2 linked regions of the Xenopus tropicalis genome follow. The protein of the gene in region 1 purifies or fractionates together with the protein of each later gene. This does not show direct contact. Links are inferred from orthologs where the notes say so. Each region holds a gene or a part of one and is shown on either strand. Other genes may lie near its edges.

Region 1 (3,754 bases):
CCCTGTCTGTAGAGCGACAACGACTCTGAATGGACACGTCTCTTATGGATCCTGTGGAAACAGAATGTTAAACCCTTACATAACTCAGGAAGCGCACCGGGGACTCAAGCCGCTCCGTCTTGGACATGGGCTGGGGAGATTGCTATGGAGCTCACCCATAGTAACTGTAATGAAGGTCCTGTTAACTTTCAACTTTAAATTAAAGTAACACTGACACGGGAAAACATGTTTGTTACAAACCCGTCAGTTAATAGAGCTTCTCCAGCAGAATCCTGCATTGTAATCTGTTTTTCCCATGGGGCTAGCCATATTCTTCATTTCCCAGGGTGCCACAGCCATGTGACCTGTGCTCTGATAAACTTCACTCACACTTTACTGCTGCGCTGCAAGTTGGAGTAATATCCCCCCTCCCCCACCCCTCCCCCCCAGCAGCCGATCAGCAGAACAATGGGAAGGGAGCAAGATAGCAGCTCCCAGTAGGTATCAGAATAGCACTCAATAGTAAGAAATCCAAGTCCGGCTTGGGACTCCTCCAGTTACATGGGAGTAGGAGAAACAATAGGTTAGCTGAAAGCAGTTCTAATGTGTAGCGCTGGCTGAAAGCTCAGACTCAGGCACACTTTACTGCTGCGCTGCAAGTTGGAGTGATATCCCCCCCCTCACCCCCAGCAGCCGATCAGCAGAACAATGGGAAGGGAGCAAGATAGCAGCTCCCAGTAGGTATCAGAATAGCACTCAATAGTAAGAAATCCAAGTCCGGCTTGGGACTCCTCCAGTTACATGGGAGTAGGAGAAACAATAGGTTAGCTGAAAGCAGTTCTAATGAGTAGCGCTGGCTGAAAGCTCAGACTCAGGCACAAGGCACTGAGATGGCGCCTACACACCAATATTACAGCTACAAATACATTTGTTGGTACAAGAATAAAAGGTTAAATGGCAGAGGGAATTATTTGCTGTGTAACAGTGTCATTTAGAGATACAAAGTGTCCCATAAATAACATGGCAGGGTCCCTTTGAAGGGGAAGTGGTGTAACGCACACACGGATACCCTATAGAAATGTGCACGTTTTATTGATATTCGCCTTTCTCATTTACCTCACGCTAGAGCAAAACAAACACCAAGCAGCCAAAAGGCGAATGTATAGAATCGGTTTATACCGATACAGACTGCAGAGGTTCAGTTTCACAGTCCCGCTATAACACTCCGCATTCTGCTCAATACTAGGGCTGTTACTGGGCGGCAGGAATATATATAGCGTTTACCAGTGGCCCCGCCCCTTTACTGGCGCTCACGTGACTAACAGCAGCTTCTGTGCCCGGCCTTACGTCATCAACACGCTGTGTCGCGGTCACTGTGACGCGGGATTATTTCCTTTTTCGCCCAGCTGTGCCCTGAGGAACATCTATCCCGGCAGTGCCCTCCAGCTCCGGGACCATGGCAATGCTGGCAGAGCGTAAGTGTGGCCCGGGGGCCTGCCATTAGCCTTGCACTCTGCCCCTTGCACTGCTGCAGCACCAAGTGTGTCAGTGGGGGGGCAGCCATGTGTCTTACACACCATGTGACTCTCTGTGTGGCTCCCCTGCTGCTGAACTACAACTCTTAGTAACACTGGGAATGCTGGGAGTTGTAGTTACTATGATTTCATTTCCCAGGGTGCCACAGCCATGTAACCTGTGCTCTGATAAACTTCAGTCTCACTTTACTGCTGCGCTGCAAGTTGGAGTGATATCCCCCCCACCAATGCTTTCTAACAGAAACAATCATTGTTGTGGCAACTTAAAGGGACCCTGCCATGATATTTATGGGGTACTTTTTATTTCTAAATGACACTGTTACACCGCAAATAATTCCCTCTGCCATTTAACCTTTTATTCTTAAACCAACAAATGTATTTGTAGCTGTAATATTGGTGTGTAGGCGCCATCTCAGTGCCTTGTGCCTGAGTCTGAGCTTTCAGCCAGCGCTACCCATTAGAACTGCCTTCAGCTAACCTATTGTTTCTCCTACTCCTATGTAACTGGAGGAGTCCCAAGCTGGACTTGGATTTCTTACTATTGAGTGCTATTCTGATACCTACTGGGAGCTGCTATTTTGCTCCCTTCCCATTGTTCTGCTGATCGGCTGCTGGGGGGGAGGGGGGGGGATATCACGCCAACTTGCAGCGCAGCAGTAAAGTGTGCCTGAGTCTGAGCTTTCAGCCAGCGCTACACATTAGAACTGCTTTCAGCTAACCTATTGTTTCTCCTACTCCCATGTAACTGGAGGAGTCCCAAGCCGGACTTGGATTTCTTACTATTGAGTGCTATTCTGATACCTACTGGGAGCTGCTATCTTGCTCCCTTCCCATTGTTCTGCTGATCGGCTGCTGGGGGTGAGGGGGGGGGATATCACTCCAACTTGCAGCGCAGCAGTAAAGTGTGCCTGAGTCTGAGCTTTCAGCCAGCGCTACACATTAGAACTGCTTTCAGCTAACCTATTGTTTCTCCTACTCCCATGTAACTGGAGGAGTCCAAAGCCGGACTTGGATTTCTTACTATTGAGTGCTATTCTGATACCTACTGGGAGCTGCTATCTTGCTCCCTTCCCATTGTTCTGCTGATCGGCTGCTGGGGGTGAGGGGGGGGGGGATATCACTCCAACTTGCAGCGCAGCAGTAAAGTGTGAGTGAAGTTTATCAGAGCACAGGTCACATGGCTGTGGCACCCTGGGAAATGAAGAATATGGCTAGCCCCATGGGAAAAACAGATTACAATGCAGGATTCTGCTGGAGAAGCTCTATTAACTGCTGGGTTTTGAAAAAAACATGTTTTCCCATAACAGTGTTACTTTAATGGCACATTTGGGGTATAACCTGCGCTGTTGCCTTTAGCCCGTAGGAAACAGAAATGGTCGGTAGACCCAAGAAACAGCGCCTGGAGTAAGGATGAGTCCAAATTTGGCCAGAAGATGCTGGAAAAGATGGGCTGGTCCAAAGGCAAGGTAGGTAGCTCTTTATACCGCCACAACTCGAGTCATCATGGTAACTTTATTAGCCATTTCTTTCACTCTGGGGGAGGGGCAACTTTTTGGGGATATGGAAATGTAAAAGAAATAAACGCTAAACACTGAACTTCTCTGGGATGATTTAGGTCAATAAGGGGGGTGGAGCCCTGGTCACAGTATAAACGCCCCCTATGTTAAAGGGGTGGTTCACCTTTAACTTAACTAAACTTTTATTATGTTATAGAATGGCCTATTCCTAGCAGCTTTGCAGTTGGTCTTCATTATTTTTTTTATCATTTTTGAATGATTTACTTTCTACTTCTACATCTTTCCAGCTTTCAAATGGGGGTCACTGACCCCGACAGATAAAAACGATTGCTCTGTGAGCTTACAATTTTATAATTTGGTTTTTTTTCTTTCTATTCAGTCCCTCTCCTATTAATATTCCAATCTCTTGTTTAAGCCACTGCCTGGTTGCTAAGGTAAACAAAACCCTAGCTACTAGATAGCAGCTGATATTCCAAATGGCAAGGCTGCTGAACAAAAAGTTAACTGAGAAACCAGAAATAATAAATGAAGACCGATTGCAAATTGTCTCTCATTATCACTGTGTACATCATATTAAGAGTTAATTTAAAGATGAACAACCACTTTAAAGTTTGTCTCTTTTTTTCTCTTATAGGGGCTGGGAGCTAAGGAACAAGGGAGCACAGACCACATCAAGGTGCAAGTAAAGAACAACACTCTGGGACTCGGAGCCTCTATCAACTA
Region 2 (3,654 bases), on another chromosome or scaffold:
CACAGAAAAGTAAATGGGTGAAATTTGATTTGCTGTTGTTGGCCCCTCCCACTTTGGGATCATCCAACAAATGTCGCTGTTTCATTCGGGGTGACCCCATTATTATGTTATTCAAGTTTGGGGAGTGTAGCTTCGAAGCTGTAAGAGTGGCAGCAGTTTAAAAATCTTCCCTGTCAAAGTCAATGGGAAAACTGGGGTGTTCGGAGCGGCGTCACAAAAAGGCGGGATCAGTTAGAAAGCACAAGCAACCTGCTCCGCTATAGGGTGAAGAAGTGTGGAGAGTTTGGGTGTTGTACGCCTAAAACTGTAGGAGGAGCAGTGTTTAGAAAATGGGGGGCGCTAAGAATAATAAGAAAAAGCGGAAGAATAAGCTGAAGTCGAAGAACGGTATGTTAGGTTTTTCAACCCAACATAATTATCGTACCACAGTTATAGTTGAAATTACACTTGCAGTTGCTGGGTATTGTATGCATTTAATGTATTTAAAAGAAAACCATACCCAGCTGCAAACACAGGTAAAGATACACTATCAAAATAAAAATGTCAATACTTAAAAAGGAGGTGTTTTCTTACATTTAAAAAGGGGGTGGGGAACAAAGGGACAGACCTCTGGCTATCTGGCAGTATGCTTTATAGGACACTGACAGACAAACTTACTAGTTATAATAAACCACATGGTGTTTTGGCCCACACAAATTTAGTAAACACTTCTTATGTTATTGACCAGAGACCCTGGCGTTTGCTTGTCTAATATTTTATTATTAATGATATCACTGACTCTTTCCCTTAAAGAATTTTTGGATCTGTTGTTTTTCAGCTGTGCTGCATCTTGCCCGCCATTGCTTGCTATTCTTGTCTGTTTCTCATGACTTATTAACCCTGGTTTTTTATTTCCACACTTCTTTGCTTTAAAGGTTCGCTACAGATCTAGTCACCCATAGCAAACTAATTGGGAGCATTTATTAAAAGCAAACAGGTTGCTATAGGTTACTAGTTTGATGAATGTAACTCTAGACAGGTTACTGTCAAATTTTATGCCCATTATTATGTATGAGGGAAAGTAATCTGACTGACTGTTCTTCTTCTCTTTTACAATGCTATGCTTACATACAGCAACAATTAAAATTTTATCCATACACAGAGGGAGTTAAAGGATAGCTAAGTAGGGGGTATCAGGCATAGGTGGTACAAAGCAGAAACCATTAATCCTAGAAAAAGATAATTAAATACCATATCATTCACTCACAGTTATGCAGTGGCCCAATAAGACATTTGTATAATATTTTGTGATTGCGAAGCTTAGTAAGAAAAGCTTGATAACTGAGCCACTGGACTGCTTCAAAGTTAAACTGGCAGCTCACATCCTTGTACCCACGTGTGACATCTGTAAATGGTAGAACACAACGGTTACTGCTGTAAAAATTACATGTAAAAAGAAGTATTTACATGGTTGGCTGCATCCATAAGTGTGGTCGTAAATGAGGCATTGTAATTTTAATTTTATTATACAGTTCATACAGACAAATATATTTTAGCTAACCAAAATGTTAGTGGATGCCTGGCAATAAGATAAGATGGCTGTGCAGCTGTCATTTTTTACATTCCTGTCATACCCTGTAGCCTTCTACCAGTAAGAAACAATCTATGCTTTAGGGCATCTAATGGGCTTCAGTGTCAATGTTATTGTGATGTATTTTACATTGTAAAGCATTGCACTTTGAGCTTACAGTAACCCTTAGCAACCAATGACCAGTAAATCTACCAGGCTAATTTTTGGCTATGGGTTAATGCATCTGGGAAACTTACCCCAATATGTAATAAAAAGCACTACGTTGCTCAGATACCCAGGTGTAGTAATCCATAGCAAACTATAGGATTACTGCTTTTAAATAGTAAATGCTTCCTGTGAATAATTGCTATATGTGATTAGACCAGTAGCAGATGTTGAACCTTTTCTTACAATTTTTATTTGTGTCTCTAATTGTATAACCCTGTTAAGTGTAGCATTGGAAGTTTTCAAAATCTTTGTTCAGTGCCATCTTAAATGTAAAGCTTTCATTATTCAGGATTCTTGCTTAATGACACTATGTGGTGATTATAGTTTTTAACTGCTACTGATCACAGAGTCAGAATGGAGTGATGCAGCCATTTTAATTTTACTGCCCTTTTGTGACAGTTTCCTATACTTATACATACCTTTGTTTTTGGACTTAAAAGTAGTGTAAAAGCAAGGTGCCATATCAGAAATCACAGTAAGAAAAAAAGGTGGATTATTCATTACACGCTGGCCAAATGGAAGCTGAACAACACAAGCATGGAATCTGAATAAAAACAAAAATAGGCAATGTTTTTAAAAAATACACCAAAACCAGCATTATGTCAAGATTCCCAGCATTCATTCTTTTGAATTCTAACTTCTGATTGTAAAAGGCACAAAGTTTGCCCAGGTGCAATAACCCACAACAAACAAAAAGATGTTTGCTATAGGTTACTACAGGTGACTTGAATTTTTGGATTTTGTGTATGGATTAATGAAAAGGATCTTTCATAACATGGACGTATGTCTTTTTTCAACCCAACTTACTATGTTACTATGTAACACATCTGTATCTAAAACAAACTTATCATAATAATTTATTAAAAGGATACGGTCATGATTTTTACAGTATACTGTTTATTTCTAAATTACACTGTTTAGCAAACAATTCACTCCACCAATTTAAAATGAGCGTAGTGTGTAGTAGTGTGTAGGCAGCCATCTCAGTGCATTGTGCCTGAGTCTGAGCTTTCAGAAGGAGCCAGCGCTACACATTAGAACTGCTTTCTGGTAACCTGTTGTTTCTCCTACTACCATGTAACTGGAGGAGTTCCAGGCCGGACTTGGATTTCTTACTATTGAGTGCTATTCTGATATCTACTGGGAGCTGCTACCTTGCTAACTTCCCATTGTTCTGCTGATTGGCTGCAGGGAGGGGGGTGATATTACTCCATCTTGCAGCACAGCAGTAAAGTGTGACTTGAAGTTTATCAGAGTACAGGTCACATGGCTGTGGCACCCTGAAAAATGAAGAATAAGGCTAGCCCCATGTGAAAATTAAATATAAAAAAAATCTTCCAGGATTTCAATGCAGGATGCTGCTGGAGAAGCTCTCTAAAAAAACATACAACCAATACAACCAATGAGAAAGTAAAAAGAAATTTTGCGATTATGAAATATGTGCCTGATATTGAAAATATATTATTTGAACTTACTGTAGATCGTGACATCCAATCATTTCATTATTATTTCAGCCACTGAGAAGCATCACTCCTTAGTAAACACAGCAGCTGCATTCATTTTGGCACAACACAAATTGCAGCAATAACGGAAGATGAGTTATACCTAATTTTCCCATTAGATTAATTAGGCTTAATGTGGAGTCAATGGGAGATGGCCTTCCCTTACTAAGCATTCTACAGATCCCATACCCATATAATTTATATGACAGCATTTTATAAATTAACTTAATAGCAATAAATTAGCACACTAACCTGTAAGCTTGAAGTAAGAATATCTTATAAGTATTGATGAAAACTGTCCTTAAACTATTTACCTGTAGAAAATAGCAGAGACATATTAATATTCGCAATCACCAAATAACTATCATGGCAACA

What was found.
Region 2: the proteins of pinx1 (region 1) and tert purify together in Homo sapiens (co-immunoprecipitation; 3 studies listed by BioGRID and IntAct, with this or other methods). This does not show direct contact. The link is inferred for Xenopus tropicalis from reciprocal best matches to the Homo sapiens genes PINX1 and TERT.

Annotation. Positions count from the first base shown.
Region 1 is NC_030681.2:151,067,324-151,071,077, forward strand, and holds the start of pinx1 (PIN2/TERF1-interacting telomerase inhibitor 1), read left to right. Parts: upstream 1-1,320; 5' UTR 1,321-1,435; coding exon 1,436-1,454; intron 1,455-2,870; coding exon 2,871-2,980; intron 2,981-3,665; coding exon 3,666-3,754. UniProt on the Homo sapiens protein: Microtubule-binding protein essential for faithful chromosome segregation. Mediates TRF1 and TERT accumulation in nucleolus and enhances TRF1 binding to telomeres. Inhibits telomerase activity. May inhibit cell proliferation and act as tumor suppressor.
Region 2 is NC_030682.2:58,796,866-58,800,519, forward strand, and holds part of tert (telomerase reverse transcriptase), read right to left. Parts: intron 3,594-3,654; coding exon 3,532-3,593; intron 2,322-3,531; coding exon 2,197-2,321; intron 1,385-2,196; coding exon 1,247-1,384; intron 1-1,246. UniProt on the Homo sapiens protein: Telomerase is a ribonucleoprotein enzyme essential for the replication of chromosome termini in most eukaryotes. Active in progenitor and cancer cells. Inactive, or very low activity, in normal somatic cells.